Caenorhabditis elegans: one gene and its partners. The protein of the gene in region 1 purifies or fractionates together with the protein of each later gene. This does not show direct contact. Each region holds a gene or a part of one and is shown in the gene's direction. Other genes may lie near its edges.

Evidence for each region.
Region 2: the proteins of mage-1 (region 1) and natc-1 fractionate together in Caenorhabditis elegans (co-fractionation; one large-scale study listed by BioGRID). This does not show direct contact.
Region 3: the proteins of mage-1 (region 1) and cpg-2 fractionate together in Caenorhabditis elegans (co-fractionation; one large-scale study listed by BioGRID). This does not show direct contact.
Region 4: the proteins of mage-1 (region 1) and T07F12.1 fractionate together in Caenorhabditis elegans (co-fractionation; one large-scale study listed by BioGRID). This does not show direct contact.

What each region holds. Positions count from the first base shown.
Region 1 is NC_003279.8:2,639,254-2,645,697, forward strand, and holds mage-1 (MAGE domain-containing protein), read left to right. Parts: upstream 1-3,470; 5' UTR 3,471-3,486; coding exon 3,487-3,528; intron 3,529-3,573; coding exon 3,574-3,621; intron 3,622-3,669; coding exon 3,670-3,813; intron 3,814-3,874; coding exon 3,875-4,060; intron 4,061-4,108; coding exon 4,109-4,450; 3' UTR 4,451-4,525; downstream 4,526-6,444. Other genes in the region: F40E3.3 (uncharacterized protein), read left to right, coding at 1-60; F40E3.5 (Serine/threonine specific protein phosphatases domain-containing protein), read right to left, coding at 6,056-6,145, 6,230-6,406.
Region 2 is NC_003283.11:8,458,690-8,467,364, forward strand, and holds natc-1 (Protein MAK10 homolog), read left to right. Parts: upstream 1-3,669; 5' UTR 3,670-3,710; coding exon 3,711-3,780; intron 3,781-3,826; coding exon 3,827-3,966; intron 3,967-4,011; coding exon 4,012-5,204; intron 5,205-5,254; coding exon 5,255-5,478; intron 5,479-5,557; coding exon 5,558-5,776; intron 5,777-5,866; coding exon 5,867-6,161; intron 6,162-6,228; coding exon 6,229-6,351; intron 6,352-6,396; coding exon 6,397-6,532; 3' UTR 6,533-6,880; downstream 6,881-8,675. Other genes in the region: T23B12.6 (BTB domain-containing protein), read right to left, coding at 149-319, 367-687, 744-1,065, 1,116-1,410, 1,467-1,726; dnj-22 (J domain-containing protein), read right to left, coding at 2,483-3,172, 3,218-3,418; mrps-2 (Small ribosomal subunit protein uS2m), read left to right, coding at 6,997-7,068, 7,113-7,301, 7,499-7,699, 8,005-8,337; mrpl-4 (Large ribosomal subunit protein uL4m), read left to right, coding at 8,576-8,675.
Region 3 is NC_003281.10:7,100,345-7,107,296, reverse strand, and holds cpg-2 (Chondroitin proteoglycan-2), read left to right. Parts: upstream 1-3,306; 5' UTR 3,307-3,310; coding exon 3,311-3,377; intron 3,378-3,420; coding exon 3,421-3,762; intron 3,763-3,805; coding exon 3,806-4,492; intron 4,493-4,538; coding exon 4,539-4,814; intron 4,815-4,858; coding exon 4,859-5,061; 3' UTR 5,062-5,207; downstream 5,208-6,952. Other genes in the region: ZK418.11 (NR LBD domain-containing protein), read right to left, coding at 5,372-5,616, 6,155-6,815.
Region 4 is NC_003284.9:4,890,261-4,898,164, forward strand, and holds T07F12.1 (Steroid-phosphate phosphatase), read left to right. Parts: upstream 1-3,794; 5' UTR 3,795-3,800; coding exon 3,801-3,901; intron 3,902-3,945; coding exon 3,946-4,064; intron 4,065-5,065; coding exon 5,066-5,164; intron 5,165-5,227; coding exon 5,228-5,338; intron 5,339-5,381; coding exon 5,382-5,510; intron 5,511-5,638; coding exon 5,639-5,931; 3' UTR 5,932-6,371; downstream 6,372-7,904. Other genes in the region: T07F12.2 (PA domain-containing protein), read left to right, coding at 213-300, 355-476, 586-760, 810-903, 1,594-1,732; T07F12.4 (Protein kinase domain-containing protein), read right to left, coding at 6,500-6,709, 6,833-7,002, 7,050-7,192, 7,401-7,553, 7,615-7,673, 7,721-7,903.

The sequences.
Region 1 (6,444 bases):
CTAGATTTTGCAGAAAAGGGCGACGCCACCCCACTGCACAAATTGCTTCCGTTCTCTTAATAACTTTGTTAATATTTAGTTTTTTAAAAGTTTAATTTATACATAAGTGAATAATATTAATAATAAATTGTCTTTCCAATTTATAAACGTATTATATTGTCTTCTCTTTGTACTGATGGTGTGTAGAGTTCAGCTGTGTTCCGAATCCTGAAAAAAAAAAGTTACGGATACTTCCAAATCGACTTGATTATTGTCTTTTTCATTTCCGAGATCGTAAGGGGTGGCCCTTATAATATTTTGGAGTTAACTGTGCTTTTTTGGAATATGAAAAAAAAAACGGTATTTTTTTTCGAGAATTTATTTTTAATATTTTTTCAACTTTTTTGGTTAAAAATTGTCTTCCAAAATTTGCAAATTCAGTGCGAAACGATCGATTTTCCATATAAGAATATTAGGAGGCAAGAAAAACTAAATTTGAATGCGCGCGCAAAAGGTGTTCAACAGGGCGCATTTGCTCTCCGAGCTTTCCGGGCGCCACGGTAGCACAGAAACTAGATCTCTCGTAAAATTTGAGAAAGATCTCGCAGGTACGCAGCGAAATGGTCCGCAATGTGTCTCGCGGTGTTTGCGTACTTGCGTACCGTAGTCCGCAAAACATTGCAGCGGCAAATAGATTTTTGAAGCAAATTTTAGCAGAAAAAAGGCAGAATTACTAGTTTAAAGTGAATAAAATTAAAAAAAAAAGATTTTATTATTAAATTTATCAACTAACAATTCAAAATTAATGTATTAAAACACAGAAAAGTTGATTTTGAACAGAAAAACGGAGTAATCATTTAAAAAGACAATATTAAAGTGAAAAAACACGCAAATCGATTGAAAAAACGAATTTAATATGTGGAATCGGCCTTCTTTTTCGCTTTTCGGCTGCAAGTTGGAATTTTTCTTGGGAAAAACTTTCGAAAATGAGGAAATCAGTGGGAACTTCTTAATTTCCTCGACTCCTGGTGAACTTTTTGTGTTAAATCCATCGAAATTGTGCGGAATAGCTCATTGACAAGGTTTCAATCTGCAATTTGATGAAATTCTATATTTTTAAATTATTTTAATCACAACAAACCTGAGGAAATCCCGAATTCGATCCTTTCGATAAAATCCAGAGATGTCACTTTGCCACTTTTCCAAAATGAAGGAAACCATGTGGAGCTTCTCAGCTTTTTGAGTTCCTGGCCGAAATCATGATGAAAAACTATCGAAATTGACTTGAGCAGCTTCTTGGCAAGGTTTTTGTCTGAAATTTTAAGATTTTAATGATTTTTGAACGTTTTTAACACAACGAACCAAAGGAAATCCTGAATTTCACATTTCTGACTGTTTCCTGGGATGTTACATCGGCAGTTTTCCAAAATGAAGGACATCATGTAGAGCATCTCCACTTATTGAAATTCTGGTGAAGTTCTTGCCGACAAATCCATCGACATTACGTTGAACGTCTTCTAGGCAAGGTGTTTATCTGAAAATTCATGATTTCATGTACTTCCATTTTTTGAAAACTTAAAAAAATTTTACCAGGAATATGAGAAAGTGCTATTTTTATTGATTTTTTTTCTCAATTTAAATGTTTAGAACACAATTTCAGATAAAATTGAGGCACAGTGAAACTCTTTTGTTCAAAAAACGCATTCACTTCTAGAGCCTATATCTCCGCGGAAAAAAATTTTATGACAAAGTGATCAACTACGAAGTTGTTCATCTTAATGTAAAGAACAACTATGTAGTTGAACATTTTTTACCAAAAAAATTGGTGACCAAAATATGACCATGAAAAGAGCAATAGAAAATATGCATGTAGTTGCCGTATTTCACCCACTCTTATCTCAGCCACCAAATTTTTTGGTGGAAAATGTTCAACTACATAGTTGTTCTTTACATTAAGATGAACAACTTCGTAGTTGATCACTTTGTCATAAAAATTTTTTCCGCGAAGATATAGGCTCTAGAAGTTAATGGGGTATTTTGAATGTAGGAGTTCTACTGCACCATAATTTCTCACTTGATGCTGTTTTTAGTGCATCCGAACAGAGGAAACAACAAAGTTTGCCTTTTTCTGAAACATCTAAGCAGTTTTTGAAAAGTTTTCGAAAAAAAAAAGAATTTCCGTTTTTTGAGATTTAATTTTCAGTGAAAAAAATTTACTTTTGGAAAATTTCAAGTGAAAAATGTACGATTCGTGTATATGTTTGCCTTTATCTTGTAGAGAATTTTTAGCTGATTCTAATTCGGCAATAAAAATATAACATTTTGTGATCGTTTTCGAAAAAAAAATCTTTTTCTTTATTTTTAGTGCAAAATTTTAGTTTCGATAATTTTTCTATGAAGAATGTACGATTTCTAGAAAATTCTGCCTGTATCTTGCTCAAAATTAACAGTTCTTTCTTTTTAAAGCAAAAAATTAACACATTTTGTGATTTTTTGGCAAAAAAAATTATTTTATAATTTCTTATTTCAAAAAATTTTTTTTCGAAAAAATCTTAATGAAAAATTAAGATTTCTCTATGAATTTAGTTCCATCTTATACAAAATTTAATGCTGATCATAAAACAACTATAAAATGTGAAGACTTTTTGATTTTCTTGAAAAATGGAACGTTTTTAAAAACTGTTTTCAGTGAAAAAAATTTACTTTTGAAAAATTGTGAAAATTGAAAAATTGTGAATAAGTGAAATATGTACGATCTCTCAATAATTTTGTCTTCATCTTGTAGAGAATTGTTAGCTGTTTCTGATTCGGCAAGAAAAATACAACATTTTGTGATCGTTTTCGAAAAAAAAAATTTTTTTCTTAATTTTTAGTGCAAAATTTTAGTTTCGAAAAAAAATTTATGAAGAAGGTACGATTTCTAGAAAATTCTGCTCGTATCTTGTTCAGAATTTTTAGCTCTTTCTTTTTCATACCAAAAAATAAAATATTTTGTGATTTTTTAAGAGAACTCGTCAAAAAACTCACTTAATTCGTTTTCCTTGCCGCCCACTTCGACGTTCCTTTGTTTTTCTCGAATTTTTTCGCTTACTACTTGAAACAAGACACACTCTTTTGATTTTACAAAAAAAAATTACAAAAAAGATACGGAAAAACGGTTAAAATCGGCAAAAAACGGAGAGAATCGATGCCGAGCGAAAGGCTTGAAATTTAAACGATTGTTCGCAATAGAGCGTGTTTACCGCCATCTAGCGACTGAACCACCGTGGGGCGCATTAATTTGAAGTCTGTAAAAACAATTTGAACAAATTGTTTTTTTTTGTTTTCTCAATTTTGAAACATTTTCGTTTAAAAACGTTTTCTTTTTATCAAAATTCATTTTTCTCGTTGTTCTTGAAATAAAATAGATTCTTTTTTATGGTGCAAGCTCGACAATAAATGCGTCTTTTGAATTCAACGATCTAACATAACTTTCATGAAGGAAATTTCAGCTTTTAAAGGACAACGATGAGCGGCAGCGACGATGATGCGACACAAATATCTCGAGAGGTAAGCTTATTTATGAAATATGCCGCAAATATCGTCCAATTTCAGGATGAAGAGCTCGCTTACGAAATCTATTTTTGGATTGTTCGCTGCATTGTAAGTCGTTCACACAGACGAAAAAGAGCATATTTGAGTGAATTTCAGTGTGAGAAAGGAGTTGTCAAGATCAGCGAGCTTCGTAAAATCTACCAGTCGACCGTCGTCAAGGATAGATCAGTTCAGTTCAGACCTCTGCCGGGAGTCTTGAAAGCTGTCAATGAGAATTTGCTGCATTGGCAGGGATGGAATGTAAGATTTCATAGTTTTTCACTGCTTATTTTTAATTTATTTCAATCTTCTAAATCTTCAGGCAGTCATCCAAGACGATCGCCTCACATATGTGAATGTGAATGGAGATGCACCGAATGAAGTGAGAGCAAGTGAGACCGAGAGAACATTGGGACTTCTCAAGAATGTGTTGATGTATGTTTTTGTGGCGACGAAGCCTCAATCGAAACATCCAGGAGTTGCTCAAGAAGATCTGATGTCTTATATGGTAGAAGTTTATTGATACAAAATATTTATAAATTTAAGAACTTTTCAGGAAGCTTCAATGTCAACACACTCTGATCGGAAACTTTCCCTGGATCATATGGAATTCCTGAAGAAATTAATCGCTCCAAACGCTCGTTCCGAGTTCATCAAAAAGGGATATCTCGCATTTACGAAATCTGTGAACGAGAACGACGAAGAAGTGTTCCGATACGAATGGGGACCGGCTGCTCGTCAAACTGTCGACCCACTTGCACTCGTTCAAACCTTCCAACAATTGACAGGAATGAAACCGGAAATGCTGAAAGAGCAAACTGAAAGAGCCAATGAATTGAAGGCTGAGCAAGTGGCTGCTGTTACTCGGGGCGGTGTGCTCAGGACTAGAGGACAGTAGGACGGATCCAATAAAAGAAACCATAACATTGATCTCCTAGTATCTTTTTTTTATGAATAAAAACATTAGATTTGCCGCATTTTTCATTCAGTAATCAATTCTCTGTCGGAAAGTGACAATTCTTGTGTCATTTTAGAGTTCTCAACGAAATGCCTGCAATTTTTTTTGGAATTCTAAAAATTTAATCTGAAAATTCGAATTGCGCAGCATATTTGACGCGCAAAATATCTCGCAGCGAAAACTACAGTAATTCTTTAAATGACTACAAGCGTCTAGACGCAGATTTCTCAACTGATTTTGCATGGTTAGGAGTGACGTCACAGTTTTCTGGGCCAAAAATTCACGCATTTTTTGTAGATCATTTTTTGTGTCAAAACATTGTAGGGGTCGGAACATGCTACTTTGGATTTTCTCAGAAGCACATAGTTTTCAAAATTTTTGGAAACTTGCCATGACTTTAACCGGAAATTATGAAACATCTAAAATTTTTGGAGTGTTTTATTATGATATTCGGTCGTCTTGGCGCATATATTGTCCAAGAATCTATGCAAAGAAAGAAACGAATTTGCGGAAGTTCAAATTACCGACTCAAGAGTTCTGCCGAAATCAAAACGTCGTCCGTCTTCAGTGGATCCCCTGGCGTCACAGTTCCTGAATTATTCGTTCAAAAAGGCAGTGGAAACAACGACCATTAGAACAGGGGTGTGCGGCAAATTTGCCGAATTTGCCGAATTTGCCGTTTGCCGAGCTCGGCAAATTTGCCGAATTTGCCGAGCACGGCAAATTTCAAAAAAGTAGATTTGCCGAATTTGCCGAGCCCGGCAAATTTCGAAATTTGCCGCACACGTCAAAAATTTGACAGTACAATTTTGACTAAAACTATTGATTTTTTAGCCAAAAAATTAGTGAAATGGCACAAAATTGAGCTATTTTGATGCTTAAACAGACATACTACGCGGAACTTATTCAGAAACCAGATGTGTGTTAAGAATTCAGTAGTTTTGGTGCTCCAAAAAACATAAAAAATTTCAAATTTTTCCGAGTTTGTTAAGCACGGCAAATATTGAAAAAAGAGATTTGCCGAATTTGCCGAGTTCGGCAAACTTTGAGATTTGCCGCACACCCCTGCATTAGAAGACATGTCACATTGTGATATATGACTTTTATTGCTGTTTTTATTTCAATTTTATGTACTATTAAAAACCGATAACCGAAAGTATATATTGCCCACAGTTTTTCTTAATATTCATTCAATATTCCTGTGATAATGACCGTACTTCTTACAATCATTCGTCTTACTTTCCTGCTCTTTGTGACATGCCTAGTAAGTTATGATAGCCTCTCAATTTCCAGAAATTCGTACTTAAAAACGCGCAGATTTATTGATTTATTCGAACGGGTCTCGCCGCAAAAAAAAACGACCAAAAAGTACTGTCAGACTTTCCTCGCTGCGAGACCCATCCAAAAAAAATCGTGCGCTTTTAAATATGAGTTTCCCATAATATTACGACAGGTTGTCGCTCTGGCCGACGATACACCTGGATGCATCGATCACAACGGAGTTAAATTCTGTTAAACATTTATTTTTAAAATAAAGTTCGAGTATTAAGAAACTGCATTTCTTCCCATTCCAGGCTTGACCAGCTCCAGCGACAGTTGCTCGCCTTCTTCCATTTTGTAGCGGATCACTTTTCCCTGAAAGAACAAAGTTACTGTATATCTACATTAGTCCTACAGTACTCACTAAAACTACTGTAGAACATTTTTGTGCCTGCTCACCTTATCATTATCCACTTGCAACACTGCCGCGTGATTCCGGAAGTTGTCGAGATAGGCGACGGCGGAAATCAAAGTGACCACTTCTCTAGGCTTGTTCAGATAACCTTCATCCACCATTTGACGTCCTCGTACAATGCATTTCAGATTGTTGGCCTTGCAGAAGTCGGTGGCTTGTTGCTGAAAAAAATTTTTTTGGTGTTATTCGGCATAAAATC
Region 2 (8,675 bases), on another chromosome or scaffold:
TATTTTTTATCACCATATAAATGGTTTTTAATCATTTCCCCACTCCATCTTTACAAGAAACGTCATACCAAAAATTATTCGAAACTTTAAAAATGACGTATTATTTAAACAATTCCAATCATTTTTCAACTAAATTTCTTGTACTCACCGCTTATCAGGTGAGATGTGTTCAGGGAAACCCGTTGAACTGGAGAATTGTGAATATTGTAACTTTGAAAAAGAACTGGCTGATGGCCAGCAGTTTCAGGATGTTGTAAAATGAGATTGACAACTCCATTCGACGTTCCATATGCGATTTCGATCCAATTACCACAGGCTGCTAGAAAATTTTTTACCGTTAATAAGTCAATAAAGGTAAGTTCTTACATGTTTTTGGAGTTAGAAAAACAGATAAAGAAGTTATTGTTTCTCCATTTGGATCTCTGAACAGTTCTGTCACCAGCAAATCATTATCCTTCATTCGTAATGGGAATTTCTGCATGTCTATATGGTTCATACTTCCATTTGCACATCCTAAAATAAGAGATGACCCAGCTGTGTCATAGCATGAGATTGGTTGAACGTCCTGTGCCTGCCAATTTTGTGTTGCAGAATGCCAAATTCCAACTTTTCCTGATTTACTAAGAGCCACCATTTGAGTTCCAACGAAGAATAAATTGTCAATTGAGACGTTCATCGAGAATAATCCTGAAATTTTGATATTTCTAAATATGTTCCGTTACGATAGAATACTAAACAAAAACCTTTTTTCTCGGTTTTTCCTTCATCATCGATATGCCACAATCCTATTGTATCATCTTGAAAAGAAACTGCGACTAATCGTTCCGCAACTGTAGCTGCGATCTTAGTATTGACCGCAATGTGTGATACATAGGTACGTGCTCTTGGAGATTTCCACAATAGAACATATGTATTCCATTCAGTAACTCTATATACACATACAAAGTAGGAATATGCTACAACAATTGAACATATATGTGCTCGAATCATTCGAACTTTCATTGGATCCGTGTCGCGGTCTGGTTGACTTTTCGACTTTGCTAGCTCAGATAGCTCATTTTTTATCTGAAAATTTAAAAATTGAAATATTTAATTAGAATTAAAACTAAGCCTACATATCTACTCATATCCGTTGACTGTTTTTTGGAATGTCCACGATGTCTGGGCGACCCGTTTGATTTATTCTTGGAATTATTTGTCGATGTTTCAGAAGAATTAGAATACATAGGTGAGCGACTTTTCTCATTTGGTAAGTTTTCAAGAGGCATATCAGGTGGTGGGATCATTCCACAAAAGTACACAGATCCACATGAAGTTGAACTCAGTTCTTCACATAAAGTTAGACGGCGGATTAGTGGAGTTAGTCCGAAGAAAAGAGCTTCATGTTTCAAAGTGTCGACTTTTATACCACTGAAAATAAAGCAATTTAGTATTGGAAAGTTTGGTCATTTAGAAAAACCGCTTACCATAAATCAACTTGTTTCGTTCTCAAATAGTTCAAAATAACTCGAAACAAGTCAGGATCTCTATCAATAAAAATGGCACCACTCGGATCTTTAACACTATTCATTCGACCGCTCAACAGACTAGTGAAAAATGAATCCGGAATCCAGGTGAGCGTGTTGCAACTTGTAGCAAATATCCTCCCGCCAACGTTCAAATTTACAATGTAGTCTGACCCCGAATCATTTGAGAAAGATGACGATGAACACGGTTGATGTGCCATCTTTCTGTAAATAAAAATTAAACATATGGTAAATGTTGATAGGAAAAGACAAGAAAAACTGGGGGAAACGGGTGATTATGGAACAATGATAATGACGGGAAATGGACGAGAATGGGTGGACTGACAGGTGATTGGCAATTTTTAACCTATGATCTGTTGATAAACGGTAAATTGAATGAAATTGAAAAAAAACTATATTTTGGGGTTTGATGAGGTAAATAGTCTGATTTATGGAAAAGAAATTACCATAAACTTTTTTGCGCGCAGAAACCCATCTGAATAAATTCATGTGCCTTTAAGAGGGCATGTCAGAATCTTCTGAAATTATGATAAACTTTTTTAATCTAAAAATTTTATTTTGGGAAAAAACATTTGAAATTCTTCATAGCATTTCATTTTCAAAACAGATTCATTAACCAATTTAATTGGAAATCGTTTAGTATTTACATGCCATTTGAAAGCGTGGAAGCTTCTAAATGTTCAGAAATAAAGTTCGAGATAAAATCGAAACGAAATGAGGTTGTCGGGTGAGGGATTGTGGAGCGTCGTGACACACTTTCTTCACGTCTGCGTCTCTTAATATCGGCAATCTTTTGTGTTTAATGAGTCGCAAATGGGAAAACCGAGGTTTATGTTCAATAGAAAAATACATTGGAACTTACACGAAAAACCAATCGAAAAGTGTTTGAAGATAAATATAAATAAGCTAAGTTTTATTTTTATAATTATATAAAAATAAACAAAAACATGAAAATATTAGAATCCACCCATAATTTGTGCTTCGAGATCGTCCAAAGACATGTGCTCCAAATTGTTGGCACCCGTATTAGTTGATTTTACTGGCTCATCCGAAGCTTTCTTCACAGTTTCCACCGGTGGTTGTAACCATTCACACGTAATTTCAGGCATCGGAGCATTCCCAGTTTCAAGTTCAGCTCCCCATGCATTTGCTCCCGACTCAAATTCGAGGATTCGTTTCCGTCGATCTTTTTTCTCTATTGCCGAAGATATGTGAGATATGATTCCAAAAGTCGAAAATAATTTTCGAATATCGTCTTCAGAATAGTCTAATCCTTCTGATGTTTTCCATTTCAAAAGTAATCGAGGAGTTAATTTTTCTTGACTTTTCTGATGCTTTTCCCTTTCTGTTTTCATCAATGTTGCCTTCTGTTTCACCTCTTCGTTGACTTCTTTCTCCAACTGCCTCCGAATTGCTTCAATTTCTTCTTTAAAGTTTCTTTGATCGGTTTTCTTCTTTTTAGCTTGTTGTGCTGCTGTCATTGGAGTTGATCCATCTGCTGACCGTTTTCCACCATTGGAAAACTCCTTTTCTCTTTTTTCTAAATCTTCAATTAACTTTTTCCTTTTTCCATCTGCTTCAGCCATTCGTTTACTATGGTGTTCCTGAGCCATTCGAATTCTCTCTTCTCGATTATCATATTCTTCCTGAAAAATAAAGTATTACATTGACCAGCGACAGTAAAAACGTACTCGTTTCTCTTTATCATATAAAAAATCGAATGCTTCTTTGGCTTCAATGAATCTACGTTCGGCTTCTTCTTTATTATCCAAATTTTTGTCCGGATGCCATTTAAGACACTGTGCACGATATGCCTTCTGAATTTCTTTGTCTGTGCATCCCTTTTCGAGATGGAGAATTTTGTAGGGATTTGCACCGGGCTTGAGTGGCATTTTGAACCTTAAAAAAACTATTATTTCGAATTTGAAACGGGAAAAATATAAATATCATAGAAAAAATCCAGAAAGAGCTGAAAAGTTAGAAAAAGACAAAAAATTGTTTCAATTCTTTCGAAAATAAATGTTTTTTAAAATTGTCCATAGAGCGCGTTTGCTCTGTTACGACACTCCAAAATAACGAGGTGCATGTTGTTTACCGTAAATCCCATTATCAGACATTGTTCTTAATTTTTTAACATTTCTCAGATTTCTTCAAAGTTTTCTAATATTCAGCTTTACGGGTCCAATGCCTGGTGCAATGGAATCTCCAAACGAAAGCGAAGACGTTTCCAAAACGTTTTTTAAACTTTGCGATGGTAATTTCTATAGGTTGGATATTATAATTTTTCTCAAAACGTTAAGGCTTGCGATTGGGCGAACTGGTAACCACAGAGCATTTTCGGCTCTCAGATGTCATGTCAGCAATTGAACTGGGAGAACCGAAAATGGACGTTGGAGTAGGATCAAAACACATTAAAACATTGAAAGAAGCGATTAGTGGGGTATTTTGTCAAATTTCATTATCGAAACTAAGTCAATAATTTCAGGGACTCTACGCCGACGATTATCCTTTTCAACTTGCAATTATGGATAGTACGTTAGCGATGGTTGTCGCTTGGCTCGAAGGAAGTGCACTTGGATCGACAGTCTGGACAAACGTGCTGCTTTCAAATGTGACTTTTGTTAAACATCCCGTTTTCCACCCATTCGCATCCGGCGTCAATCTTTTCATTCGAAATGCTCATGCACTTATCAACAGTGTTGGTAACCTAGAAGAGTTACCCGAAGATTTCAATCCACAAATGCTCTTCAGTCATCAGAGATGGGCTCCTCGCAGAGTCGTCGTTCAGCTTATGCGAGAACAGGTTACATTGCTCGGTACTACTGGAAGAAAGTGGAGAGAGTCAGCATTCAGTAAACAGGCGTACGATATTTGCTGTGCTGTTGCATCCCGTCTTGAAATGTTTATTATGCTTTTGGAAATTATTGGCTTATTGGTTGCACCAGAAATTGAAGATCCTAACTTCGATCACAAAGTTCATCTGGGGGATTTCTATGTTCACGAAAAAGAATATGAAGGAGCCGAAGAGAATTCTGACGAAAAATCAGAAGAATCCACGTCTGATCCAACGCCTTCAAGTGAAGCAAAATCGGAAACCACAGAGAAGAAAGAACAGAAAAGTAATGATGAAGCAACAGATGAAACTGATCAAAATGATGATGAAAATGTAGGCGACGACGAAGATGAAGATGATATGAAACAATTCAAGCCCAATTTTGGATTCGCCTCGATTTTGGCTGAAAGACTGTGCAAGGTCACAAAGGCTTATGCGGAAACAGTTAAATTAGGAAGAAGAGCACCCGACAATATTGATGGTGATGGTGACTACCTATGGCTTGGCGCATATGAACCAAAAACTTGTATACGAATGATCCCGGCATGCTTCCCTCGAAAAATCAAGGTTCCATCAAGACAAGAAGCTGCTGATTGGTGGGTGAAGTGTGCTGAAAGAATATATCACCTATGCATTGTCACTCCAAAAACTTCAAAAGATTTGAACTATTTGTTCTACTTTGCGAGAACTTTCGGTCAGAATGCATGCGTCTTCACCAGATCTCTTCTTCAAATTTGCATGTTCCCAGTCGACAACCATCTGTGTGGTGATGAGAATCGATCAATTGCTGACGCCGTTGAATACTCACTGAGCAACTGCTTCTGCCCACAAATTCTTGATAGAGTGTGAGTACTTCTCAACAAGAATACATCACGAACTTATCTCATTATTTCAGATCTCCTGTTTACAAAGATCAAACTGCTCAAAGTCTATATGTGTTATTTTTGAATCACATGTCAAAACTCGCAATCACCGTCTATGGTAGTTTTGGATGCAATTTATCCCGTCAAAGAGATCGTCTTGAGATGGCCATTGAAGATCTTGGTCAAATCCATTCATATGCTGGACGACTGGAAGAGCGAACTGATGAAGTATTGCTTAGCGGAAAAATGGTTACTGGTAAGATAATTTAAAATTAAAAAAATTATGTTAAAAATTATTCTAAATTCCCAGTAATTCCACAAATAAATCATTGCAGCAAAAGAGCAGAACTACTCATATCACTCAGTGGCTACATTTGTGTTTCACAATCTTCTTGCAATCATTAACCATTATTTCGAACTTGGATTTCGAATGGACCTTTACGTTCCTTACGAGTTCCCATACATTTACTGGTTTATTGGTTCAGTTCAAGCACATTGGATGAGAACAACTTTGGAACGGAGTCAAGAAATTCAGCTGAACGTTTATCAAGCAAGTTAGTGAAAACCATCAAATTGTTACAGTTAGGGTTCAAAAAATTTATTGAACAAAGACATGAAGCCGTTTTCTGTTATGCACTTTCCAGATCCACTGAGAGAGACTAAAAACAAAAAACTGTGGGAAGAGAGATGTAAACTTGGAGAAGAGTTGAAACGTCGTGTCGCTGCTCATCAATTCAGTGTTCTCAATCAAATCGCAATTTCAATGATTTCTGATGGAGTTGTGAGACTGACAGTTGTTCTGATTCGTAAAGGAATCATCAAGATGCCGAAGGGTGGAGATGATGCTGAAAAACTAAGATTCGAAAGACGATTCGAACCATTCGACTCACTTGGGCCTCCAGTTCGTGTGGATTACGAACGTTTTAAAAGTGATTCGGGGTAAGCGTTTACTGCGTTTTTAAAAAATGTCATTTTATGGGTATACAAATAATTATTCGCATTTCAGAATTGACCAAATGTATGAAGACAAGATTGAGACACTGATCGATCAAGCTCAGAAAAGTTTCAATGAAGCACGTGAACATCTCGAAAAAATCGATAACTCTGTGGAGCAAAATCGCGAAATGATGTTGGTTGATGCTGTTTGGTCGTTTAAAAATCTTCTTATTTCCAGGCAATTGATCCACGTGGCGAAATCGAACATTATTGCTTGCAGAGTTCTGAAACTTGATTTGACGGACAGAAATGTCGTTTGGTCGTTTTCAGAAGAGATTCCAATGTTTCCATGTCTAAAAATTAGCAAAAAGTGATGACAACTCTACTCTTGTTTGCCAATTATTGCTGCGATCTCTCCAACAGTCACAATCCATCAGTAGATTCAGAAATATTCAAGAATCATCTCAATAGAATGCCATAAGTCCCCCGTGTTTTTCTTTCATGTATTTTATATAATCAGCTAAATAATTATTCATATTTCGATTTTTGTTTTCATATTTTATTGATTGAGTAATTCAGACTAGTGAACCCCGCCTCCCCGTCTTCTTTCCTTTCATAGCACACGAATTTTCTCGGTTGGTACAGTACATTCACATTGTTCTCAGAGATATCGAAATACATTTCAAATCAAATTTTATGCTTCTATGAACTTGTTTGTTTTCAGTTTGCAAAATATCTTTGAATTATCGATTCTTTGGTTTCTGTATCCAAATTGATTATTACTTATTTTCTAACTTACTAGTTACTTACCATGTTTTCTTTCAACACGAATTTCCAGATGAGACGAGTTGTAGCAGCTGCAATCCGTACAGAAAGAGCCTTCTCGACACGATTTTCCGCGTCGCAGCAGGTAACCATTTACCAAAAATATAATTTAGAATTCTTTGTTTCCAGAAACCAGTTGCATCTACTTCATCATCGTCGTCTGTTCCGGATCGTGCAACTCTTGAAAAAGGAACAGTCCAGCCAACAGTGTTGAAGCCATTCGTTTCCGCGTCACTTCAACATGAAGATTTATTTAATTTTGAAAAAATGGTCCATATCGATGAGATGTTTAAAGCAAGACTTCACTACGGACATAAGGTAGTCTATTTAAAGAAAGGCGGTTCTAACTGTTAAAAAAAATGAATGAAATACGTTTAAAAGTCGATTTCCCAATTTTCTTTTCTTCGAAAATTGCACTGGAAAATTACGAAAAAAACTTCGGGATTTTTTCGCATTTTTTAAAATTTATTTTAAGCTTGAGAAGTTGAATTAACAACTAATATAATTTTTTTTAGGTCGGAACAGTAAACAACAATATGAAGTGGGCCCTGTACGGTGAACGTCTTGGAGTTTGCCTCTTCGACCTCGATATTACCAAAAAATATCTCGTCAGAGCTCTAAATTTCGTTGCTCATGTGTCATTGCGCGGTGGAATGATTCTTTTTGTCACTTCCAATCGAGACACCATGTTTGATGTTGAGAAGGCAGCAGATGAGGTGAGACAGTGTGCATGGTGGTGTAGGGGTGAGAACACCAATCTATTGGAAAATGATTCATGGTTCGAGTTTTCATAACAGCAGTGATGTGAACATACTTTGATCCGATAATTAATAATCTTGCGAGATTATTTGTTTCTGCGGAATTTGCGATCCTGAGCTGTTTTTTTTTATTCAGAAAATATTCACCATTGTTTTCTAGTTGTGAATGTTACTGTAAAAATGTATGTCTTTTAAACAGTAATCTTTAAAAATCAAGCAAAAAAATTTTACAAAAAAAAATTTGAAAAGGTGTTATTTTCCAGGTTGGGCAATACTCTCACGTTCGAAAGTGGCAATCAGGAACTCTAACGAACACTCGACAACTTCTCGGAGCTTCAGTTCGACTTCCAGATGCTGTCTGCTTCCTGTCAACCCTCACATCACTCGGCGAAAACCATCCAGCCATCGTTGAAGCCGCAAAAATGGCGATTCCCACAATTGGAGTAGTTGACTCGAATTCGGATCCGGCTTACTTGACATATTTGGTTCCTGCAAACGATGATACACCACAATCCACTGAATATTTGCTCAGAATGTTCAAGGAAGCCGTTCGAAAAGGACAAGAAGAACGAAAACGTCAGCAGCAAGGAAAATAAATTTTAATTTTTAGTATTTAGTTTCAAGATTTCAAAATTTTTGATTAGATCTTTTGTTTTCCTTGTTTTCTGATTGTTTCTTCATTTTCTAAATATCCAGTTGTTTACCTATTTAAAAAATCAAAATATTGCTTTCAAATCGTAATTTTGAATCACTACTGTAAACGAACAGTGTTAGAACATATCTTTCTTTTTTTTTGGTTTTTTAAAATTATTTATACACCTTATCCCTTTTCAGATGCTCTCCAGGCAGCTGCGTTTTTTAATTTCAAGTCGAGCATTCTCATCGGCTGTTCAGGATGTTTCCTCGACTTCATCTGGCGAATCCATCGATACAC
Region 3 (6,952 bases), on another chromosome or scaffold:
ACATATTTAGCTCTTTCGAAAAAGTGACGTGACTCATGTGATAGCACAGATAATAAAATTGAAAATTAAAAGTTTTCTAACAATCAGTAACCATATACATAGTAGCACTATTTCTTGCATAATCAACAACTTTTCCTGCTGTCTGAATGACGAAATACTTATTGTTTACCCAGCTACAGTAACTTCCTCTGATTTGAAGTTTCTTTGAAAAAAAAATGAAAAAATCAGTTGTTCACGTGGAATGATTGATTGAGAATCCGATCAATTCTTATTATAATCCTACTAATGGATTGGTATAATCCGATTACAAAACTGACTTTTGTTCGATTCATTGATGTGCTGAAAATGGAAGCTACTAAACACCCGATCGGGAGCACTCAACTTCTGGATGATAAGGGAGAATTGATCAACTGATAATTTGAAAAATTAATCGCTGGAAGCTCAGTTCAAAGTGAAAAAGGGTTTCAGCCAAAAACAGGACTTGCAGCATGGTTTATTTATTTTTTTAAACAAGAATTCTTCCACGACTGGCTCAGTCAGAAAAATGTTTCATTTCTAAAGAATATAATGACTATGTAAACATTTAGAGCACGCCACGTTTGGATTACTGTAGGTGGCAGTTTTCTACCGCTATTATCTTTTTGAAACTCGGGCACACAATTTAGACCCTCGCTTCAGAACATACTATCAGGTTGTCCCATAAGTTTTTGTACTTTTTTTCAAATATTTTTCCAAAACTTCTAGAAAGTTTTAAAATTTTTTCATCGTAGGTCGTGTCAAGGTCGGGTCGTCCCCTTTCAGAAAAGATTCATTTCATCCATTTCTACTTTGCCACGATGACAATCATCAAACTTGAACGTCGAGACGTTAGATTGCTTCTTCTTTATGAATTTCGTCTTGGTCATTCAGCAATGGAAGCGGAACGAAACATATGCGGTGCGATGGGTGAGGGAGCACTCTCTTATAATACAGCAAAGAGTTGGTTTCAAAAGTTCAAGAACGGCGACTTCAGTCTCGAAGAAATAGAACGTTCTGGGCGACCGGTAGAGTTAAATGAAGAAGACCTAGTGAAGCTGGTGGAGGAAGAGCCTCGTCTTAGTCTTCGTGAAATGGAAGAGAAGCTTGAGTGTTGTCATAGCACAATTGCATGTCACTTGGGTCGCCTTGGTTTTACTTCAAAACTTGGAATTTGGGTGCCTCATGAACTTTCGGCATCACAGAAGCTCACTCGGGTCAACGTTTGTACTCAACTTCTAACTTTTCGTCGAAAGTTCGATTGGCTGAACAATCTGGTTACTGGAGATGAGAAGTGGGTGCTCTATGTTAACCGTTCCAGTTAACGTCAATGGCTTCCGATCGGTGAGAAAGGAATACCGACGCCAAAGCCTGATCTTCACCCAAAAAAGATTATGATCTGTGTCTGGTGGGGTGTTCAAGGACCCGTGCACTGGGAATTGTTGCCAACTAATAAAACTATCACTGCTGATTACTATTGTGCCCAATTGGACCGAGTTGCAGAAAAGACCAACGGAAAATATGAAAAACTATATTTTCTTCACGATAATGCTAGGCCTCATGTCGCCAAGAAGACTTTCCAAAAGCTGCAAGATCTTGGTTGGACTGTTTTACCGCATCCACCATATTCTCCAGATCTTGCACCAACCGACTACCATTTGTTCTTGTCTCTCAGTGACTACATGCGCGACAAGCAATTCGACGACGAAGAGCATCTCAAAACTGAACTCTCCACTTTCTTCTCATCGCGTTCGCCGGATTTCTTCTCCCGTGGCATCATGATGTTACCTAGTAAATGGCAACAAGTGGTGGACACTAATGGTGAATACTTGTGTGAATAGTACTACTTGTCGCTTGAGAGAAATAAATTTTTTTCAAAAAAAAAATAGTACAAAAACTTATGGGACAACCTGATATTAAATAGAACTGTATATTGCCACTCCATGTCCCCAAATGATACTGTTATCCAAAGAATGACAGAATGTGCAAAAGTGGTAAATAGTAGCTGGGACGAGTGAGGGGCAAATTGAGCAGTTCGTTCATTCCCAAGCTCATAAAAAGGAAATGCGCACCTGCAGATCTCTGCGCCTCTGAATGGGTACACGGTCTTTATAAGGTGAACCTAATCGAGAGAGAATTTTTATTATAACTTTTTTTGTGTTTTTCGAAATTGAAAATTACTATGAAACGGAAGGAAACTAAGGGGATAAATCGAATGTGAGCATATACAGAGAAACAGAGGAAAACTCTCGATGTGGGTTACTGTATCAAAAAGTATCCAGAAGGTCATCTCTCTCGTCGGCTTACGAAATTTACTTTAAAATTGCGGGGAATTGTCAATTCACATATAATAAAAAGAAATTCGAAAAAAAAACAGTGCAATTTTGCTGAAAACCAGAAAACTACAAAAAAGTGGGCGTGGCCTAGAAGGGCATTTGAGTTTTTTTGAACAATTGAAAAAAAATTAGAAAATATTAAAACTTTTGTAAATTTTTAACAGTAATGTTCGGAGATTGACCTATTTTCTTTAATTTAAAGAAAAAAGCCAAAAAAATAACTCGCTTGTTCAAAATCAGATATGAGCTCCCAAAACTTCTGTGAAGAAATTATAATCAAAAGCTGAAAATATCTGGAATAATTTTATATAGTTATCAATTTTTATTGTCACGCAACATTAGTATACTTTTCACACGAAACGGGTGTTTTTTTTGTGAAAAATGCATGTATTACTTGTTCGCGAAAACTTTTTTTTCAGTGGGGTAATGAAGTCGATTGCTGATAAGAGAAAATTCCTTGGAAGTTTGGACATCTAATTAAAATTAAATATTTAATGTTAATTTTAACAGATTGATGTGAAATTTGAACACCTGAAAGTTAAAAATTGCACTAAAAACAAAAAACAATCAAATTTCAAATTTCGCGCGTCAATTTTTGAAGCGCAAACAAACGCGCTCCAGTGCTCATTTTTCAGTTTTGTAATTTTGAAAACATGATACTAGGCTTGTATTCTTCCTATTTTCTCATATTTTGATCTGTTTTAGCATTTTTTGACCTCCGGCGGGAAAATTCAAATTTTTGTTTTGTTTTGTTTTTATTTGTTTGCCAATGGTTTCGAAATTATCCAGCATTAGTCATTCATTTCATTTGTTTCAGTTGGTTTCTTTGTCATACGATTATTCTTGTGAGAGAATATCGTGCATGCAAAGTAGTTTAGTATTTTCTTTTATTTCTGACACTACCGTTTTTAAAAATTCAACTCTTGTTCTCTTTTCTTAAAGATCTTTATTTCAGGAGGATGAAGACGGTTGCCGCACTCACACTCCTGGCTTTTGCCACAGCTGCCAATGGACAGTTCCTTCAAGGTGCGAGTTTTGTCCAGATGCTTTTTTAACATTGACAATTCAGACTGTACAAACGCTCTCGATGGTCTTTACGCTCTTGGTGAATGCGAACCACAATTTCTGACTTGCTCGGGAGGTATCGCAAGAATCATGGATTGCCCAGCTGATCTCATCTACAACGAGCCACTTCTTATCTGCGACTGGCGCCACAACGTGATTGGTTGCGAAGGATCTGGAGAATCATCTGGTGAGACCTCAGGTGAAGGATCTGGTGAATCTTCCGGTGAGGCGTCTGGAGAAGGATCCGGTGAAGCATCTGGGGAAGGATCCGGCGAAGCATCTGGAGAAGGATCTGGTGAAGCTTCTGGAGAGGGTTCAGGATCCGGAGAGGAGACAGTCGAAAATGGTAAGTTAATTCAAATCATTCATCGATAAAATGTTTTTTTCAGTTTGTGAGAATCTCGAAGACGGGGCCTACTCATCAGGTGGTTGTACCACTTACTACTTCTTCTGTACAACAAACACGGCCCGTTTCCTCAGTTGCCCAACTCCACTCTTCTACGATGCTGATTCTCAGAAGTGCATCTGGAAGTCTCTTGTCGAGGAATGCAAGGAAGACCTGACCATCACCGATGGATCAGGGGAGACTTCTGGTGAAGGATCTGGAGAGGCTTCTGGAGAAGCTTCCGGGGAAGGATCAGGTGAAGCATCTGGAGAATCTTCTGGGCAAGGATCAGGTGAAGCTTCTGGGGAAGGAAGTGGCGAACTCGAGCCAACATGCGAAGGAAAAGCTGACGGAATCCATCCAAATGGAGTTTGCTCAACCAACTTCCTCACTTGCTCTGGTGGAATTGCTCGCATCATGGACTGCCCAGCTTCTCTCGTCTTCAATCCAACAATTCTTGTTTGTGACTGGCCACGGGACGTCGCTGAATGCGCTGGACTTCCAACTCCACAGCCAACATGCGAAGAGGACGGATACTTCTCATTCGGACAATGCTCATCGTCATTCACTGCTTGCACTAACGGCCGTGCCATCGTCATGTTCTGTCCAGCAGGACTCAAGTTCTCCGAGTCTACCGTACGTTGCGACTACGAGTCCAATGTTTCCGAATGCCAAGAGACGTCGGGTGAAGGTACGATCGTTTTTTACAGTTTCAAAATTTTATTATCTTTTTTCAGAATCTGGAGAAGCTTCCGGTGAACAATCTGGAGAAGGATCTGGAGAGGCTTCTGGTGAGGCCTCTGGTGAAAGCTCAGGAGAGGGATCCGGTGTGGAAGAGCAAAATCAATGCGTTGGACTGGACAATGGACTTCATGCTATCGGATGCTCTCCACGTGTTCTCTCTTGCCAGAATGGACACGTTGATATCTTCGAGTGCCCATCCAGCCTGGTTTTCAACGATCAATCTTTGATCTGCGATTACCCACAAACATCGTTGAAATGCCTCATCGAAGGTGAATTTGTCTCATAAATTAGCAACCCTAAATGTTTATTTCAGACACTATTCTCATTGATGAGACTCCAATTGCTGCATTCGACTGTTCCACTGACGGCCTCTTCTCCGATGGCCTTTGCTCTGCCACTTATCATCAGTGCACTGCCGGACAACTCATTAACTTCACTTGTGCCGCGAGCAACGCCGTCTTCTCAGCTGCCAACACCGAGTGCGTCGACTCATCGACCCTGCTTCAATGCCATTAATTGTACCCATTTTTTTTACAAAATTACACACTAATTGACTAACCCCGTGAAAAACTATTGCCCCCATAGAGGCCCCATATTATTGTAAACTTGCCTGTATATATTGCATTTTTCATATTGAGAAATGAAACTGCCTGACTAGAACTCTGAATCTTAATTTTTTGGCTTTCATGAGATGCTGGGTGATTACTGTAGATGATCTTTTATTACTCGAGGAAAAGTTTGAGGGTTGAATGAATAACAATGCAAGTTTGAAAAGGGGTGGGTACCCACGTGGGATAGTTTTAGATGAAAAAGTGCCACTCTAGCTTTAGAGAGATTCTTTGACAAGCTTTCTCAATGGCAAAGTGGGTTGGTTCAATTGGAATAATGTAAACAGTTGTGCAAGATCTTCTATTGTTTTCTCGATCAGCTGACTCAGAAATATAATATTTAAGTATCTTATTCGTCCGTGTTTTTGAAAACGGAAGTTACAGTTAATACCAAGTGTAGACAGGTAGATGCTCAGATACTCCTCAATAATTCGTTTCGCAGAGGAACCAACAAGCATAGAAGCTGAAAAATATTGACGTTTATGGTTAAATACAGAGTACTAGTTGTAAGGGTAATTTATTTATTAGATTACTGCGTTTTTTTCACTTCTACGACTTTAAAGGGGACGCTTTTATGCGGAATAGTCTCGACACGCTCCTACACTTTTACACTTATACTGTATTTATTATATTTATTAGGATATCGCCACGAATATCAGGTGTGTGCCTTTAAAGAGGTACTGTAATTTCAACCGTTTATTGCTGCGGAGTTTTTATTGATTTTGTATTGTTTTCTAGAAAATATTTTCTTTCCCTTTTGTTAAAGTGTATATGTTTTTATTGTTAGATTTGAGTTTTCAAAAACATATTTTTATTGTAAAAATAGGAAAAATCTATGAAAATTCTGCAGCATCAAAAGTTTGAAATTACAATACTCTAAAGACACACACCGTTTTGAATTTTATACAAAATTTGTCGTAACGAGACCAGACATAGTTTATTTGGCACAAAATCGGAATATTTCGTGTCTGAATAATATTGAAAAGTGTTATGTAACTTACATATTTGACAGAAATACGTAATAACCATCAATAAAAACTCCTCGGTTGTGATTCGAAGTTCAATAAACTTTGAAATAAGACGGCATCGTATTCTATTCAAAAGATCAAGAGGATATTGATCGGAAATCTCTTCGGGAAAAACATCCACTTTTCCAGGAAAAACCATAAATTCTTTTTTATCGAAATAAGATCGTCCAGCCATAAATACAATTGATAATGTGAAAAACGAATGTTTCAAAATAAGATTGGCTTCATCAGCATTGAGCATTTTGACAAAATGTATTCTTTTCATGAATTCGAGAGTGGTAAAAGCCTCAATTGCGACCCAATCATGAGAAGTGAAGACGACATCCATTTCCTTTTTACATAATTTTACCAATTTTGGATCGAGCATTTCTTCAAAATTTAAATCAGCAGTCACATGGCATGTATAAAATATTTTCTGACGTTCGGCATCTGATGACATTAAATCTTGAATAAGTTTAAATTTGTTTGAGTATATATCAAAAGATGCAATTCTCATATTGGCATTAATACACTCATAAAATTTTCTTCTCGGGCATTTCTGTTTGAACTCAGCAATCAAACATCTTTGTGGGCATTCTCCAGGATTACACGATTTTGGTGGTTTTTTGGAGTTTACTGCTCGACGGAAAACCATTTTGCATGGATTACAACTGCTAGCCTGCAATAATAATATACATGTAAAAACACTTATGTGTATATTTAAATTGGATGTCGTAAATTAGATAACTTACGCCATAGCTGAATTGGGGTTGTGATGTTTTACAAACCAGA
Region 4 (7,904 bases), on another chromosome or scaffold:
TCATTCATAATTCATTTTCTGATATGCAATTACGTAGTGTTGGCAACGAGAGCGCGCACTCTACGAGGAAATGTGATTGTGTAAAGGGGTGCGCGTGTGTGTGTGTGCCCGTGCATTTTCCCGTCACCGTGTTTGCACACTCTGCTTTTTTAGTTTTGTATGCGGTTTTCACCGCATGGTTTCTCCCCGCTGATTCGACCTTTTCGGGGAAAATGAAACCCCGCGGGTGGCTTCTGTTCAGTTTTTTGCTAATTATTCAAGTCGCCTATGCCAAAATCCCTCGGGAATATGAGGAAGTCGGTAAGTGATTATATACAAATCTGTTTTATGAATATACATATTTCAAAATTTCAGAAAATCAAGACAATATGCTATTCACAGTCACAGAACCATATACGCTCGCCTATACATATCAAATGAAACACGCATTCATGCTTGGAGTTCATTTCCCAGATGGAGCAAACAAAACTTTCCGGGTAAGAGTTTAGTTATTTTCGTGAAAATATTTATTGTTTGATAACTTAGTAGAACAGCAGATCCGGGTGTTTTTTGTAAAAAAGAAATTACGGAAATCACCTTTTTTAGAATCTGGAAATGGTCCTCGCCGATCCCGTCCACGGATGTGAGGCTCTGCGCAATGAGATCTTTGCCCCTTCAGTCATTCTCATGGAGCGAGGAGAATGCTCTTTCACCGTAAAAGCACTCAATGGAGAAAAAGCTGGAGCCACCGTCATAATGGTCACCGACTCACAGAACTACGGTACACTCCTTGATTATAAAACCATAAATACAACTTTAATGAATTTCAGAATACAGTTATCATCAGTACTACGTCAATATGATACCTGACGAGTCTTTGGATCGTGCCAACGTCCCATGTGTCTATGTTGCACCAGTGACAGGGTATTACAATTTTGTTTCGCTTTTCAAAAGTTCAACTAGTGAAATTGCTAAGCTTAAAAGCAAGTAAATATAATTTTGGACAAAAATTATATGTTTCTCTGGATTTTTAAGTTTTTTCAAGCTGTTTAAAGCGGTATAACTTGGAAACCGATATTGCTCGCAAAATATTGCCAACTAAAAACTCACAATGGCAATTTTTGATCATTTTCTGTGTTGTTTGTTTTATCAACATCACTCTGGAAAAAGTCATGGTGGCTAACATCTCATGGACCTGCTTTTGATTAGATCTGATTTTTTCGACAAATAACTCAAGTTTCATGGTATAGACCAACAACAAATCTAGTTTAAAATAGACCGGCGGTATTGATTTGAACAAATTCAACAAATCGAAAATGTTTAGCTTTCAGAATTTTGAGATTTTTAGATTTGACGCAACATTTCATAAAATTAGCGCACACATTGATTCGTAAAATTCTTTCTGAAATCTAGAGTAATTTGAATTTGTTTAAGTGTTTTGGTCTCGCATCTCTGATCCACAAGATTTCATTCGCTATAACCTTTACCAGAAAAAAAATTGATGAACGTTTATAACAAGGGAAGTGTATAAAAATTATAAGTACTATTCTTTGGTTGAAAATGTTCTGTTACCTGCACTAGGCTCTGTGAAGAACAATTTATATCATTTTTCAGACGCTACTTCCGTGACCACCTCGAAGAGGGAGGAACCATCAAGTTGGACATTCCAGTCGAGAGGAACTATGCACCATGGGTTCATCACCAGAAGAAGGCTCCATGGGAGATTTGGCCAGATGAGGACCATTACTTCTAAATGAATCCTCTCAAAGCTTTAATAGTGACAGTTCAATTATCATTTCGGTTCTTTCTAATTTTGTGTTGTGATTTCCGACGTTTTGCCTACGGTGTCCCCATTCTGTCTCAGCTTTCCTCATTTACATGTCATTTTTGCATATTCTTTTTTTTATTTTTTTTTCTTCACATCAAAAATCTGGTTGTAACCTAATATTAATATTTCGTTATTTCTCTTTCACATACTTATCCTCCCGAGACATTGGATTCCGTATCGCCCACGGGTTATTCCTCCCCATTGGTTTTTCCCATTCCCGTTGTCTATGACAAAGTTGCCATTACAATGAATTTTTCAATATGTATGTTTTGAAATGGTGTAGATATGAGAAAATGGAACACCAGTGTCCTATGCTCTTTTCACTTTTTGTCATTTGTCAAATGCGGTGTGGCTATGGAGCACCACAAGCACTAGAGAAAGTTTTTAATTCTTTAGGCAAATAAAACTCAGCAAGTCGACCGCTTTCATTGTCTTTTTCTTCCGTTTCCTCTCACTGCTTTATATATCCATCATCCATAGTTAGTGACATAGAAAACGGTTTTTGACAATGAGTCACCGAGATTTCAAATCGTATTTCTTTTAACAGTGCTGCATTGGGATTTTACTTTAGTTTTTTTTAGTTATGTTAGTTGTTTTCTGAGTTTTTTTTAATTTCTATGTGAAACGGGCTTTGCAAATTTTTCAGACGCTTTTCTGGAAAACCTGATTTTGCCCTAAAGCCCTAAAATTTGATTCTTTTTGCGTTTGTTGATAATATTTTTAACTGAACAAAAGTCGGAAAATTTCACAAATTTTGAATTAACGCACACAGTATTAAAAAAAAAATTACAAAGTTATTAGAGCTCAAAACGCTGAATTACCAAGACAGTGCGCTAATTATTACGAGAATTCATATATAAGGAAAAAATACGGAAATAAAAGTTAATTGTGTTCCCATCTGATAACTTTTACTTTTCTTGAATAGTTTACATTTTTAAAATAGTTATTTTCGACAGAGTAAAAATAATTTCCCACTTAAATATTTTTTTTCAAAGTTTGCCTTGCTCAGCATTCATAAATAGATAAAAATTGCGCAACTTTTTCGCAAACGAAATAGGTTGAAGATATTAGTTGCACCCTATATAATTTTTGTGAAAGAAAAGTTTCGTAAAACCTTATTTAATTAATTAATTTAAAAAACATTTCCAATCAAATAATAATTAAACTTGCCAAAAATATTCAGATTTTTCAAACTTGTCGTGAAAGTTTTGGTAAATTTGGCTTTTTAAAAAAATTTTTAGAATCCAAACTTTCTGAATGCAAATAAAACTTTGTCAAAAATATTTTGATAACTATTTGCTCATTTTAGTACTATAAAACGGTTTTCTTTGCGTTTAACATGTTGAAATTTTGTGATTTTGCGAAATAAACAACTCAAAAAATAATTTCTAAAAACTAGTCAATTCAAAATATTTCCCACATTGGCACTTCCATCAAAAAAATGTCTTTTGAATTTGACTCAATTATGTTGCGCTCGTTAGATTTCGGTTTCTGTTCAACACACACCATTTTTCCATTTTAGCGAGGTCAAACCAATTTTTCGTTTCAAAAATTTTGATGCTTTTACTTTTACTACTACGTTTTATTTTGTGACAGACAGTTGCAAAGTGGAAAAATATGTCTCTTATCACTCGTTTTTGATTGCGCTATTATATGTAGGTTTAAATTCTATTGTTCACAATTAGAGCGTGCGACGGATTTTTATTGATCGACCTTGAGGTTCTGTCAATTGTTTGAATTGTGTCTTATACTGGTTGTAGAATTTGCTTGTGAAAGTTATTGGCACGCATCCAAATTCAGGTTCGATTCCACTGTTTTCTCCGTCTTTCTTTCTCTACGTTTCTTCAGCAATCATCACTCTCTAGGCGCTTGCGCATCTCTATTTCTGTTGTTTCTCCTATCGTATTTCTCTTTTCAATTTCATTTCATTTCATTTTGCATATGAATAATATTATATAAATATACTTTTCCATTTCGTTTGTATTCCAGATAAATGCCCGAGCGGAGAGTGTTCATTATCCGTCATGGTGAAAGATGTGATTTTGCATTTGGCAAGTCAGGACTTTGGATCAATTCATTTGACAGCAGAGGAAGGTAAACGTTATTTTAAGCATTCTAGAACAAGTTTAAGTCTGTAGATATCGCCCGCTTGACATCAATCTTCCCCGAACTCTTCCAAAACGTGCCGATGGATGGCAAGGTTTTGCTGCCGACACCCCGTTGACTGAAATTGGTTATCTTCAATCAAAATTGACAGGTAAACTGAAAATTTGCAATTTATTTGCAAAAATAACAATTACAATTTTCAAGTTTATTTCAATAATTTAGATAGATTATTTTTTGAATTTCATAACAAATTAAGTTGTTTGAAATTAAACCAGTTGCCAGTTGGAAAATTGTTTAGAGCCATAGCAATTTGATTTAGGCTGTTTAAGAAATCTTTGAAATTTCCTGAAAAATCAAAAAAAAACCAGCAATTTCCAAAATGACCAATTTTTGAAAAACAATTACTGAAAGTATGCAATTTTTACATTTTTAGTTTTTATAAGATCTCGAAGAGTTTTCCGAAAAAAGTGATTAACAAATAACTACAATTGCGAATTATGCCAAATTCAATTTTTTAAGTTTCGAAAAATTTCGGCAATTTCGGCAGCTAAAATTTTTGACCGCGTACCTTTTGTTTCACAGTTATCATAGTTCTGAAATTCAACTTTAAAAACATGTTTCTGCAAATTTTATATTCCAATGCAGTTTCATTAAATGTGCATTTTTATTCGAACTTATACAAAACGTCATTTCATTTGAATTTTGGCTATTGTCTTGTACAGAAAAATGTTGAAAAATATGGAATTTGTTTAAGAGCTTTAGTTGGTTATATTGAATAATTATAAGAACTATTAAAAAACAAATCATTATTAAATGCTCAAAAACACAGTTAAAATTTGAAAAACTTGAATTTATTTTTACATATGTTATTCGAGAAAGTTTAGGTATTTTTTTGAAAATGTATTTCAATTCGCACAACGTTTAAATAAAAATAATTATAAAAACATTTAAAATTACAAATTTATGAAAGATTTTATAAATCGTAAAAACAAGAGCTTATACTGTTCTTTGGTTTCTTTTCCACATCATTTCTAATACTGTACTGTATTTTAAATAGTTTTTTTTTTCAAAAAATAACTTTATTTTCAGTCAGAATTTGTCTAAACTATTATCTATTATGTTCTTCATCAACAAGACCTATTAATTTTTCAGGACGAGCATTACGTGACAATGGAATCGAAATCAACCATGTTTTCTGTTCCCCGGCTTTGAGGTGCATCCAAACAACAGTTGGTCTATTGAAGGGAATGGGTACGTCATGTTTCGATGTTTCCCGCAAGACAACTGACATCACTTAAAATAAACATGTTCTAGGTCTTGACAAGCGAATTCAGTTTTCCGTTGAACCTGGGCTTTATGAGTGGATGGTATTTGCAAGGTACGCAAGACCATGCTGGATTCCGCCAAAAGATTTGAAAAAGCTTGGTACGTATGCTCGGCGTTTAATTCCAATACTAAAAATGTTCAGGCTACCCTGTACAAGAAAACTATGTACCATGTTGGACGGATAAGGAGCTTCGAATGAATGAAACCTTAGCAGATTTCTATCAAAGATCGTTTGGTTCTATAAACAAAATTTTGTCGGAATGCACAGAAGGTGATTTCTTTTCTCAACTTTTTGACACTAGTGATCAATGTGTATTTCTCGTGATTTTCCTGTCTATCACCCTATGAACTTTCTAGCTTCTACATCTCATAAAACGTCACGTTAAATGTATATTCCAGGAAACATTCTCATTGTGGCTCATGGTGCATCACTCGAAACATGCACTCGGCAGCTGGTCGGCGGTGATATCAGATCAACTGACGATTTCTACTACCTACTTCAAAACACACCATACTTGTCGTGTGTAGAAGTGAACTCTCGAGAAGGATTATGGAGACTAGTGGGCAGCCCGATTCCGTCGTTTTCACACACGTACAATCGCACTTTTGATCCATTGCAGCTCGTCACAAAAGATTTGGCCTCGCTGAAAAGAGAACGAGAGGGAAAAGACAATATGAGGACCACTCAATAATCTTTTTGATAATTTGTAAGCCGAATTAATTTTTCTACGGTTCTGAATGCTAACATTTTTGGCGGGAGTTCTTTATTCGAATTTATGTAAATTGAAAGTCTTTAACTTTGAGCCTAACTTTTTATTGCCAGTGGGAATATTTTTCAAGTTTGCTTTTATAATGCTAAAATCTTTTTTAAAAAATATTTGAAATGACTCGATGTGGAAAATTTGAAAATTTACCATAATTTTGTCTGAAAATTTTTTGAAGATGTGTTATAATATTTAGTCAGTTTGGTCTATGGTCTCAACTGACGGTTCTCCGGCCTTTGATTAGTTTGGTTTTTCTTCAGTTTATCACCGACGTTGTTCATGATCTCAACTTTCTCCTGTTTTTTTATTCGATTCATATTCAAATTGTTATACTTTCAACTAATAAATCATTTTATTCGACAATCAATTAACATTCTGTGAACTTCGAAACCCGAAATTTGTTTTCTCTTTTCAAATATATTTCAATGATAGATCTACTTGTAGAGATATGAGATAACTCTTTGTAATGGTTAAACATTTAAAAAAAAAGGATCGGCTAACATATTTGTTGACTCCAGTTGATTGCTTTGTCATAAAACTGAGTAGGTGTGCATCTTTGAGTGGTATCGAGCTGCAGCAGTGATTGAATAATCCCCGAAACCTCTTGACTCAGCTCGTCGGGCAGCTCAGGCGGGTCGTAGGCGTCGAAGTTAGCCCCTGCCACATACAGGAAGAGCTTACACAAACTGCACTCATCGAATGGGACCTGCAAAAGAAAAATTGTGAATATGAAGTTATCTACGTCATTCTTCCACTTCAACTGCGAAGCCCCTGGGGAGTTATTTGCGTTTTTGTTCTTGGAAAAACTTTAGGGTTCGGAAGGACTAACCTCTCCTGTAACGCATTGGTAGAGAAGGCATCCGATGCTCCACATATCAACTTTTGAGTCATACTGACAAGTTTTTAAAAGGTTCGCTCCAACTTCTGGAGCCATGTAATAAAATGTACCCGCAACGTTGCACAGCTCTTCTCCCTCGTTATCAAGGGTTCTCGAAATTCCTGAAACAAGAAATGAATTAAATTACGTAATGAGTTCCAAAACACACCAAAGTCTGTGATCCGAGCACAAGCAATTTGTTTCGATGCATCTGTATAAGTGATCAGTATGTTTTGGGGTTTAATGTCCCGATGTACAATTTTCAACTCATAAAGCGCTTTGTATCCTCGGGCAATGTTGTCAAGAAGAAGCCTGAAGTGATTTCTGTTTGAAAGTTGTAAAAAAGTTTTGAGGAAGACATGCTGAAACTTCCTTATCCTAGCCCTCTTCCCTAGTTCCTGTTCCGTATTCTCTACTATTTACTTGAATCAAAACATGTTTGTGTGTTCCCCCCCCCCCCCCCCCCGTTCCCCAATCTGTAATGCAAAGAAAAGAAATGCGAGAATTCCAAATTCCTTACCTGAAATTCGACGGATTCAATCTTCCTTTGACCGAAATATTGCGCATGTGATGGTCAAGATCACAATCGCAGAGTTCCATTATTAAACAGCAGAAAAAGTCGTCGAAATTGCAAATGTCTAGTACTCCGACTAGATATTCACTGTTGAGTTCTCTGAAAAATCTTATAGTAGAAAGTTTCCAACAAAATTAAGAGATACAAAACTAAAACTTACTTGATCATTTTCAATTCGCTCTCCTTCACGTGCACTTTGAGCATCCTTTTTATGGCAATCTGAAATAATACTCCTCATATAACAAACGGGATATAACGTTTTTTACCGAATTGCTAGAATCCTTCAAGCTCCCCTTGAACACTGCTCCAAATGCTCCCATCCCAATCATGGCGTCCACTGAATCCATATACTCGTATTTTTCATCTAATATAATTTGCTTGTTGGTGAAGTCGGGCATCAAAAATGCACTGGCCGTTGAGGAACGATGAGAGGCGCAATGAATAACCATC